Linked DNA regions of Elephas maximus indicus. The protein of the gene in region 3 interacts with the protein of the main gene of each other region in a pairwise test. Links are inferred from orthologs where the notes say so. Each region holds a gene or a part of one and is shown on either strand. Other genes may lie near its edges. The genes, in order: RBM17, DDX17 and SF1.

The links.
Region 1: the proteins of SF1 (region 3) and RBM17 interact in binary tests that used the Homo sapiens proteins (3 or more experiments, as listed by UniProt). The link is inferred for Elephas maximus indicus from reciprocal best matches to the Homo sapiens genes SF1 and RBM17.
Region 2: the proteins of SF1 (region 3) and DDX17 interact in binary tests that used the Homo sapiens proteins (3 or more experiments, as listed by UniProt). The link is inferred for Elephas maximus indicus from reciprocal best matches to the Homo sapiens genes SF1 and DDX17.

The regions. Positions count from the first base shown.
Region 1 is NC_064822.1:52,636,184-52,639,930, forward strand, and holds the start of RBM17 (splicing factor 45), read right to left. Parts: upstream 2,889-3,747; 5' UTR 2,801-2,888; exon of another isoform or gene 2,664-2,800; intron 1-2,663. UniProt on the Homo sapiens protein: Splice factor that binds to the single-stranded 3'AG at the exon/intron border and promotes its utilization in the second catalytic step. Involved in the regulation of alternative splicing and the utilization of cryptic splice sites.
Region 2 is NC_064822.1:182,372,507-182,376,253, forward strand, and holds the start of DDX17 (probable ATP-dependent RNA helicase DDX17), read right to left. Parts: upstream 2,644-3,747; 5' UTR 2,438-2,643; coding exon 2,388-2,437; intron 1-2,387. UniProt on the Homo sapiens protein: As an RNA helicase, unwinds RNA and alters RNA structures through ATP binding and hydrolysis.
Region 3 is NC_064825.1:127,946,135-127,949,881, reverse strand, and holds the start of SF1 (splicing factor 1), read left to right. Parts: upstream 1-1,301; 5' UTR 1,302-1,712; coding exon 1,713-2,052; intron 2,053-3,439; coding exon 3,440-3,568; intron 3,569-3,747. UniProt on the Homo sapiens protein: Necessary for the ATP-dependent first step of spliceosome assembly. Binds to the intron branch point sequence (BPS) 5'-UACUAAC-3' of the pre-mRNA. May act as transcription repressor.

The DNA.
Region 1 (3,747 bases), on a different chromosome or scaffold from region 3:
CAGGCTTACTGGAATGGCAACTCCACTCTGTCGGCTTTAGTTTTCCTAGTCCATTTGAGTGGCAACTCCACCCCCTCAAACTCCAAACTCAAACTCCAAAGGCCATGGCTCCACCGTTAGAGACCCCAGAGGTCATGGCCATGCCCTTTGAGACTGAGGCAGCTCTGCTTTTAGTGTTCCTTGTTTCTTCAGCTTCTGCTTCCTTGTCCTCTTGGCCCTTTGGGCCTCACCACCCGCATATGCCCTGCTGGAGCAGGTGTTCCAGAGCTCTGAAGCTCCACCGATAAGCACCTGGAGGCAACCCACCCCACCAGTAAACTTCCACTGGAAGGCACTCAGCTCTCTTGCTCAGTGGGTCAGCAAGCCTAGCTCCACCAATAAGTGCTCAGAGGCACCTCACTCCACCAGGAAGCCTCCTGTGCAAACACACTCAGTTCTCTCGCTCTGTGGGTCAGGTCCAGCACCATGTGGTGCTGGTTTTCTGGTTCTGCTGCTGCCAGTCCTTTGCTGTCTGTGCCAACCCCAATGTAACAGCTTTCCTCATTTCCTTCTGAGTCCTCTATCCACTCAGTTTTAAAATTGCTTCCACATTTTAGGTATCTGTTAAAGCAGCACCCCACTCTTGGTATCAAATTCAGTCTTGGTCATCAAGAGCCGCTATAACAGAAATACCACAAGTAGATGGCTTTAGCAAAGAAAATTTTATTCTCAGTCTAGTAGGCTGGGAGTCCAAATTCAGGGTGTCAGCTCCAGGGAAAGGCTTTCTCTTCTCTATCAGCTCTGGTGGAAGGTCCTTGTTATAAATCTTCCCCTGGTCTAGGAGCTAGGGTGCAGTGCAGGGACACCCTTGTCACAGTTTAATATTTACATTCATTCTCAAAGACTCTACTTCCACAATGCCATACACTGGAGTGTGTTACAAACAAACTTCACTTGAATTTAGGTATAAAACAGAACATCCTTCACAATTAACTACTATGAAAGGCTTGAGGGATTACTAGACCTGAATCATCTGTTCCCTGCCAGGGGAGGTCTGAAGAATTCACATTCGGCAAAAACTAAGAAAGTAATTTAAAACAACCAGCTAAAAAGAAACACAGTTAATAAAATCACATCTAGGAGTGCGTAACAATTCTCTCAAAATTCTTTATTTTTCCATAAAAGCTATCTTTAGTAACCACTGAACTCCACAGTCAGACGAGCTCTTCACTGCTAATACTTGTACCTTGTTACATTATCTATCACACAACCTACTCTTTCTAAACTCTAAAAATAAAACACGCTCAATTTAAGTTATTAATTGTCCTCTATTCCCTAAAAACCCTTATTATTACCCAAAATGCCTGCTGCCTTTATCCAGTAAAAATGTAGAAACTGAGATGCATCCTTTAAAATCTCCACCTGTTGTAGGAAGTCACAGAAGTCCTCATCCACCCATCTACTTGAGTATGTGCAGAATCTTGCACTTACCTAGAATATCCACCCATATGCCTAGTTTTTCCAATTAGTGCCTTCAATGCTTTCCCTTACTTTCTCCTCAAAGAACCTCTATGATCTGACCTAATTACCCTTCCAATTACTCTCCTCAAATGTTTCTCTTGAGCCTTACCTGCAGTTCCCAGAATACATTATGGTGCTTCACCTCTGCTACTTTTTCACTTATTTTCTCTGCAGGAAACTCTTCCTATACTTTGTATATCTAACAAAATATTATTTATTCTCTAAAACTCAGCATAAGCATCGCCTCCTCTTTAAAGCCTTTCCAAACCACACCTTAGTCCCTCATATCAACCCAAGCACAACCATGCCGGTTTCCCTAGAGACCAAACGCTTGAGTAGTGGCAAAATCTTACTCATGCTGCATCCACAGTTCACAACACGTTGTTGTCTGGACAGTTCACAACACGTTGTTCGGTGATTAAACATCACAACTAAAACACTCCTTTACAATGACAAGGAGTAAGGTAACACCGGAATCATGACTTCCTCCATCTGCCCAGGTAAGCTCCCATCTTTGAAAGATGCCAACACTTGGAATTCCCTGTTCTGAGACCAGGGATGGAAATGCCTTCTTTCCATTTAATTCCCTGAGCCCTGGAGCGATGCAAGTGAGCTGGGCCACAGGTGACATATTGTCCTGGCTGCTAGAAGCTAGTGGCTAAAAAAACTAGGGACCGATAAACTTTTTCTAAACATGGTCAACGAAAGAGAGGAACGTTCTTTAGTCCAAAAGAGATTGAAACAGACAGACAAGAAAGGGAAGGATGGGAAAAGAGGAGAAATGAGAGGCACTGGGTCACTAGAAGAAAATAAAGGAAAAGTGGCAGAGGTGCTGCGAGGAGTTGCAGAGTCAAGAGCGGGGCGGAGGAAGGCGATGAGAAATGCGGCGGACAGAGAAGGCCGGGGGCAGCACCTGGGCATGGGAGCCAGAGGCAAGGGGAGACCAACGCAAAAGATGCGAGAGAAAGTGCAGGGAGAGAGGAACCCGAAAGCGTTGGAGTATGAGACCGTCGGCAGCTCTAGACTGGCCCGGGTCAAAACCTTCCGCTCCCACCGCGGCGCGGCCTAAGCTGCGGCCTCACGTCCAGCTCTGTCTCGGGAAGGCGCTCCCGCCCCAGCTTCCGCGCCAGGCCGCCGGCGTGGCGGCGAAGGGGGTTACTTACCCGGCCCACCCGGCCGACTTTCCCCATGGGCCGGAGCGGCGGCAGCGCGGAGCCGCAGTCCGAGACGCGCAAGCTCCGTACCGAGCCCGGAAGCGCCGCGGAAAAGGGAGATTTGGACGCACTCTGCGTAAACCTACCGACGACCGGAGCCCACAGCTGGCGCCAACCCCTACGCCAAATCCGCAGGAGGTTCCGCGGCGCGGGGGTCAGAGAACGTGTACTGCCGGAAGAGAGGGGACGCCTACGCTGCTGGCTCCTCGCAGCAGTGCCCCCTGACGGTAGGAGGTCTGCACTGCAGACTCCCCTCCGTCGGCGTCTTTTTCTTCCACCAAAAGGTGTCGCCTTGGCGCAACCTTTGAAATTTCATAACTTTTTTTTTTTTTTTTGGAGAGGGTGACAGTGACCCCGGACGGTAAGAAGTAGAAATGGTCCAAGGTTGCAAAGATCTCAATGGGAACCAAATGTCTTCTAATAAGGGAGAGGGAGAGAGAATTCCTCCTGGCTCTTCATTTTAATTCATTGAAACCCATTCATTTATATACAAAAAGCTGAAAATAAATCCCTGGGCGAGATGAATGGGGAAACTGCAGCAGAGGAAATGGTAGTAAGCGTTGAAATGATTGAACTGTAAGGTTAAGAAAACAACAGATATGGAGAATAGGGTTACAGCAATGAATGTAAATGTTATAAACCTTCACAACTTAAAAATAATGTAACTAACAAAAGTTAGGAGGGGAAGTGAAAGTGGGACTTTGTGTAAATACGATCGTTTTTACAACTGAAATTGGAGGCCAAGAATATTTCAAACTGATAGAGATACCATTCTACTCCCATTAGGATGCCAAGATTGTTTTTGAAAAAGGAAAATAACAAGCATTGGAGGGGATGTGGAGAAATTGGAACCTCATCCAATGCTAGTGGGAATGCAAAATGGGACAACCCTCGTGGAAAACAATGTGGTGGTTCCTAAAAAAATCTAGAGGTAGAGCTTTCATATAATCCAGCAATTCCACTCCTAGGTATATACCCTAGGAATCTAATAGAAGTGGCACAAGCATATACATACCTATGTTCATCACAGTGC
Region 2 (3,747 bases), on a different chromosome or scaffold from region 3:
AAACCTACGTGTTTCCTAGAAGTTGCCACTTCAATGCTATTTTCCAGATCTGACATTAAAACTAATGTTTTAGAAAGAGAAAACAACTTCTGAAAGAGGTTCCTTTTAAAGTTTATCCTCAACAGCCATTTTTTTTAAGGGATGACAAAAAAGGTATTTTCCCATCTCCCTACTGCCCTCGTTATTTATCCAAGAGGTACTATTTCACACTGAAGGTAAAATTTGAAGGAAAAAAAAGTAGCTGTCTTTTATGTTTATAATTAATGTTGACCTCAAAATGAAAAAGAACCTTTTATCCTTGTAGAATTGAGCCTGTTTGTGCCATCCTTTAATGTGAACATAACCTAATACCTGGGTACACTACTGAACTGCTCATTAAATGTTTATACTGAATCATAAAGGAAAATTCGTGAAAACAGGGCTCAGACCTCATAAAAGAATGCTATTATTTGAAATTAATAATTTTAAGGCTTAAAAAAAAATGTCATCTTAATACTCAGAAGCATCGATATGGGATAAACTAAGCATGAATTACTATCCAAACTCAAGTTTTTTCTTTTCAAATAGTTTATCACTTAAAAACATATACGCAACATTATATTAAATCAAACATCCATGGTAAAGAAACATTAACACTACTGTGGTAGCCCCTATGTGCCTATTTCAAGTTTACTATTCCACCATTAACAACTACCTTGAACTCTGCTAATCATTCCCCTGCTCTTTATAGTTTTACCATATTTTTACACATACTAAACAAGCTATCCTTCTGCCACAACTTGATTTTTGATCCAATATTATGTTTATGAGTGATCCATGTTGATGTAAGTTTATTCATTTTAGCTACTGTATTCTATTGCATGAAAACCTACAAGTTATCCAGACATCTGGGTTGTTTACAGTATTTTGCTATCATGGAACAATGCTGTTACAAACATTTTTGTGCATGCATCCTGGGCACGTGAGCAAGGGTTTCTCTAGGCCCTAAAATGTAGGGTTTAAAGCTTGGAGAGGAATTACTTGGTCATTTTCAACTTTACTAGATATAATTCTTTTTCCTAAATGGTTGTATTGAAATTCACTTCTACACTTAGCTATATCATGAAACTCCAAGCAAATGTTTCATTTTTAGCCCTTCTTTTTTTAACACCAAGATAAAAGTATTTTCCTTCCTAACAAAGTACAAACAAAATAATTATCTTTTATTTGGTAAATTAAGCGATAATTGAGGTACATGCGGCTAGTAAATCTGGTACTTGTGTATCTGAGCTACAAAAGACAAAATGTGGGGACAGAGTAACAAAACACTGCAAAGTAAAGAGAGTTATCAGAGAAGGAAATACGCTGGGTTGAAGATCTTGCTCAAGGTCACGCATATATTAAGAAGTGGATTCGTACTACTCTAAAGAGAGACATAATTTTTATTAACTAAAAAAGTTACAGTACAAATCAGTGCATGGATCTCTTAAGCATCTTTTTCATTTCAGCGACATTAAGATTTGAAACTCAGTCTCTGGAAGTACTTCAGGTCTGATCTCATGTTAACTTCCATTCCAGAATCCTTGGCATTGTGTCACTGTCACATTAAGAATTTTATAGCTAGGCTGAAAAATTAATACTGCAGTCCAGTCAGAGGGGGAGGAAAAAAAAAAACCGAGAAGAAAAATAATCAAAAATACAATAACGACCCCCCGCAAAAAAAAACTCCCTTCCCAAACACGATCATTTACATCTGAACGTGCTTCCTCCAAAGTGGAAAACAAAAGATACTGAAGGGGATTTAAAAAATATCCTAAAAATTAAGAGTCGGCCTCCCGGTGTCCAGTTTCAAACCAGGTTCCCAACCCAGTAACAGCCATCTCAGGCGCTAGAGAACACCAGGGAAGCCATTTCGCGTTAACGCTTTCCCAGGCGGCATCAGGCGACGTCCCCCTCTTCCCGCAGGATCCCCCCAGTTTCCCGGGCGACCGCCGAGGCCCAGAGCGATTCAGTGGCTCGCCCCGTCGGCCGGGCTCTGAAACCGGGAAACCAGGCGCGGCCCGGGTTCGAGCTGGCGGCGGCCATGCCGGCCCGGCCTCTGGTTCCCCTCGGAGCCAGGCCGCGCCACGACCGCCGTCCACAAAGAGGAGCTGGAGCGTCGCCAAGCCGCCGCCCCTGCTGCCAGGTCACGAGTGACCGCGGGACCGAGGCCCCGGCGCGCCCACAGGCCAGCGCACCAAACTGCTATTATTGTCCCGCTCGCCTCCCGGGTTCGGGGAGAGGGTGACTAGCCCTGCAGTTTCCTCCAACGCTCCCGCTAGGCCGAAGGCTTCAGTCTCCTCAGGAAACCACCTCCTCCCGCCCCACGTACATCCAAGGCCTTTCTTCTCCTCCTCCTCCCCCCTTACCCTCCACGGTCACGATCCCGGTCTCGGTCCCCAAAGCCGCCTCCGCGCATTGTCCCAAAGGGATAGAGATCTGGGAGCGGGGCACGGATGGCCGGGCTCGGGAGGGCCTGCGGCTCCGGTCTGGTGACGACCGATGGCGGCGGCGCCTCCGCTGTTGGGGCGGCGGCAGGCGCGGCGCTCTCTCGCTCCGACGCGCTATCTCCCGTCGCAGACGCCACCGTCGCCGCCTCTCTCGTCGGAGACGGGAGCAAAACACAAGAGAATCGGGATTACTAAAACGCTGGGTAGGTTTAGCTACCCTTAAACCCAGCAGTGCTGCCTTTAAGCGTCTCCTTCCTCCCCAGCGACTGCACAAAATGGCGGTCGCTGCTGAGCCTGCTCCAGCTTAACGCTACGTACGCCGGAGACGATACGTAAACAGCGTCTCGGAATAGCCCGAGGGCCTCGCGGAGTAATACGACTATTCTTGGAATCGGTTTACGTTAGTTGCGGAGATGGGCGTGTTTTACGGTAGGTAGAAGAAAAACAAAGTACGGAGCGGGCGTAGAGTTCTCGCGCCACCTGAACTGGAACGCGGGGTGGGGGTGGGGAGGAAGAGGCTCGGGTGCGACGTAACATTCTTTGCGGCCTTAGCCTGCCCACTATTGCGAAGATGCGTACTATGCGTAACGCATTATGTTTAGAGAATAGAGTTTGCCGGATTCCGACCGCGGGATGGAGTGCCGCGTTGCTTTCAGGGACAATAACTAACCTCCATGTTGCAGTCATCAATTCTAGGGTCTCCGAGTGTCAGAAGCCCAGGAGGGTCTTAGGGGTCCCTGGCTGGCGCTCCTAAATAGCCCTGCAAGCCCCCTCGCCCCTCCGCCCTCGGCCCGCCGAGACAGGCCGCGCACCCGGTCTCCATTTCCTTTCGGTTGTCTCTCCCTGCGCTATCGCCGGCAGCCATGATGGATGCGCCTTGTCCGGTTCTTTCGGGAGGGGGTCAGGCGGCGACATGCCAGCAGGGTTAAAGCGCTCTCTGCTCTACTTGATTCACACTGAAGTGCATTTTTTGAACAGAATATTTGTACCATTCTCAGCTGAGCACAGTTGACGTCCAAACATAGAAGCAAATTGTTGGTGGGGAACCTCCTTAGGTAGATGCCGCTGCCCCAGAAGGCCCTTCACGGTCTCCGAGAATGTAACAGTTTAAGAGTGGTGGTCTTCAGACGCGGAAGTGAGAGCATAAGTACATGTTTTTAACTAGGCTAGGTAGGCCATGTTCTCCACTTTCACTTCTAAAGTGGCTTTCCTCTCCCTACTTCTTCCTTTCCCCTGAAACTGCACTTCAGGACTTCATCAGCTTGGCCAAATGTCACAG
Region 3 (3,747 bases):
GTTCTGCTCTGTCCTATAGGGTCGCTATGAGTCAGAATCGACTCGATGGCACTAGGTTTGGTTGGTTTTGGTACCATCTAAGGAGTCTTGGTGGCACAGCTCGGCTGCTACACCAGCTGGTCCTTGGAAACCCTATGGGGCAGTTGTAACTCTGTCCTATAGCGTTGCTATGAATTGGAATTGACTCAATGGCAATGGGTTAATAACTAAATCATTTTTTCTTTACTGAATTGAAACATCACTTTTCTGGTATTCGTGCTTGCATATGGGGAATCTATTTCTGGACTCTACTCAGATTCTGCTCCACCGATCTGTCCTTCCTACAGCCAATATACGGTTTTCGTCATTGTGTCTTTATACTACCCTATCTGGAAAGGCGAGCTCTTCCTCAACCTCTGTTACACCTTTTTCCACCATTTTCATTCGGATATGATTTTTAAGATAATTTCTCCAAATCCCTTCCAACCCCGTTGGGATTCTAATGGAAACGATTTATTCTTGTTAATTTTAGAACTGACAATTTCATATTATCATTCACCTAAGATTTTTTTTAAGATTATTTAAGATTATGTTCTCACATTAGCTCAGATAATTTTTAATCCTTCAATAAGACTATGCCGTAGCTGGCTTCTTTTTTTTTTTTTTTTTTTGCACTTTTTAGTTTTTTCAAAGAAAACCCAAACCAAATCCACTGCCGAGAAGAGTCGATGCCGACTCCTAGCTATAGAACACAGTAGAATTGCCGCATCTGGCTTCCCAGGCTGTAAGTCTGTACTCTTCCGCAGAGCGCCTGGTGGGTTTCAACCGCAAATCTTTCGGTTAGCGACCCAGCGCTTAAACACTGCGCCACCAGGGCTCCTTCAAAGAAAACAGGAAGTCCCTTTTTACCTGCAGCGACAACGGATCCGGTTACTGCGCGCGCGCGCGTCGCCCCCCCCACCCCGCCACTCCACGGGCCCGGGTTACCATGGGAATAGAGGATGACGTCACCCAAAGCTTCAGCGCCGGACCCAGGGGTCCACAGCCGACAGGGCTGGAAAGGCGGCTTTGCCATATCTACGCATGCGCACTCCCTGCCCCTCCTTCCTGCCTTAAAACTCGTTGGTGCTGGGGCTCCTCAGCCGCGACCTCTTGGTTCATCCGGTCGAAACTTCGCCCCGGAGAGTAGAAAAAGAATCGAGCGAGTGACAGCCAATCCCAAGACATTACGACGCCATCAAGATTGACTGACTCAACGGACTCCAGCCAATGAGAGAGCGCTCCTCTTCCACGTCATAGAGTTTGCCCATCCCCTCCCCGCCTTCCTGGACTCCGAGCTCAGTCCGCGCAGTAACAAACGAACTGCGCGCAGCGACAGCCCCAGCTCGCCAGGCTTCGCCGCCATTTCCTCCCTCGGCCTAACGGTTCGGCCAATCCCAGCGCGCATCGACAACGGCTAGGGACCGGCCAATCGGAAGACGCCGATCCCGACCCCTCGAGCCTCGGCCCGGTCCAATCGAGGCCCCGGCCCCGCCGCCCCCGGCCCGCCCCCGCGGCGCCCTCTCTCCTCCCTCTTTGTGCGTCTCGCGCCGCCGCCGCCGCCGCCGCCCGCCGCGTGAGAGGACGGCTCCGCGGCAGCGCAGTCCGGCCCCCCCCCGGAAGATTGGCGAAGGAGAAGCCGCCGCCGCCGCCGCTAAGGAAAAGGAGCCGCCGGTGCCGGTCCCAGGGGCGCCATGGCGACCGGAGCGCTGGGTAAGCTGGGCCTCCCCGGGCCCAAAGGGAGCTTCGAGCCGGGGCCGCCGCCCGCCCTCGGGCCTGGGGCGGGTCTACTGGTGCCCGGGCCGCCGCCGCCGCCGCCCGCGGGCGCGATGGGGGCCCTGACCGCGGCCTTCCCCTTCGCGGCGCCACCGCCGCCGCCCCCTCCACTGCCCCGGCCGCCGCTGCCGTCCCCGGGCTCCGCGAACCCGCCGCCGCAGCCGCCCCCTCCGCCGCTCTACCAGCGCGTGTCGCCGCCACAGCCACCCCAGCCGCCGCGTCAGGACCAGCAGCCAGGCCCGGCCGGCGGCGGAGGAGGTGAGTCGGGCCGAGCGCGCGAGCGGCGTCGCGCCGACGGGCCCGGCCGGCTGAGGGCCGCGCGGCTTCGGCGGCGGCGGCGGCTGCACGCGGCAGGGGCGCGCGCGGCCTGGTTCACGGGGACTCTACCGCGCACGCGCGCGGGGGGAGGGGAAGAGCGGGAGGCAGTCTGCTGTGCGCAGGCGCAGTGTGGCGGCCAGGCCTCGGGGCGCCGCTGCAAAGCCCGGGGCCCTTATTTGCTCTCCGGTCCGCTGGCATAGGGGGAGGCGTTGAGTGGCCCGGGTGTAGAGGGTGGCAGGTGGGTAGACCGGGAGGACAGGAGAGCGAAAGGGTGAACTCGTGACTTGGGCCGCCCTTTTGATGGTCTAAGTTGTCTGAAAGGGAAAAGAATACCCAGAATCGCCTCCCTAGTTGCACCTTAAGGCGAGGTTTTCAGTACAAAGAATGAAAGAGGTTGAGAGTTTCCACCTGATGGTTGGGGCTGTTCCTTCCTGGTCCCTTTTTGTGGGGTGGGGTGGGGGGAATCTGGTCACTGCCTTCCCTGTTTTATTTTCTGATCTCCCTTCGTTTACCCTAGAGCTTGCTCAGTCTCACCGCCTCCACTTTACTGTTGTTTTTAAAGACTTTCCCTCTTGGCTTGCACCCTTGGGGAACTAGAACGACTTCTGCGTGCTAACAGTTGGGAGTTTCTGCCTCTCTGTCGGGGAAGGGCCGCTTAGCTGCTTTCACATACCTTGTTGGTGTGAACTCATACATCTTTGAAGAGTTCAGACTTTAAGTGTCTACCTGGCCGGGATCACCGAATGCTGATCATGGCTAAACGCATGGAGAGTAAGGTGGTGGTGTTGAAGGATTGGGCTTTTCACGCAGTAGTGTGTAGTGATGAGTTCAGGGGTATCCCGGCTCCATTCAGAAAGGTGACTGGTGCGGGGTGGAGGTAGGAGCCAGCAGTTCCCCCAGCATTGTTCTACAGATTGTCTGTGGTCCTTCACTCTGCTCCTGTCTCCCCTGGGGCTTCTGAGGCATTCCGGCCAAGGTAGTATAGACGCTATTTACTTTGTTAGTATTAAATTTAATTACGTGAGATTTTGTGTACTACGTTTTGTCATTTCATATACACACGTTAGTAGTTTCTTTAGAGGGAAGTTATAAATGTGTAACGTTAACTTCTCTGACCCAGCTTCTCTTACGCTTGTAGTAGCCATATGTTTCGTTTTAATCTCTGATCTCTGACATTTGTCTTACATTCCGTGATGTTTAAGTTTTAGGTTGGGCCCTCAGTTTCGCCATCTGCTGAGGTTCTGTGGAATACAGGTGTCTTGTGCTGCCTGTTGGCAGTTACTGTGCTAGTTTGTATTTGCATCTGATGGATTTTATCTGCCTTTAGACTTCCCGAGTAAGAAGCGGAAGAGGAGCCGCTGGAACCAGGACACAATGGAACAGAAGACGGTGATTCCAGGAATGCCTACTGTTATTCCTCCTGGACTTACTCGAGAACAAGAAAGAGCTTATATAGGTAAATACACGTTCTGCATCTAAACGCATTTTCAGGTTGTTACTGTTTATCCTGAACAATATTTCTGTCCTTTGGCAGTTTGAGATTTTAGTGGTTTCTTTTTTGACAAGAGGTATGATGAGGTGTACTTTTATGGCTTTAACATAACCTGCCAGTTTTTGCTCAGTGAGTCCTGCTTT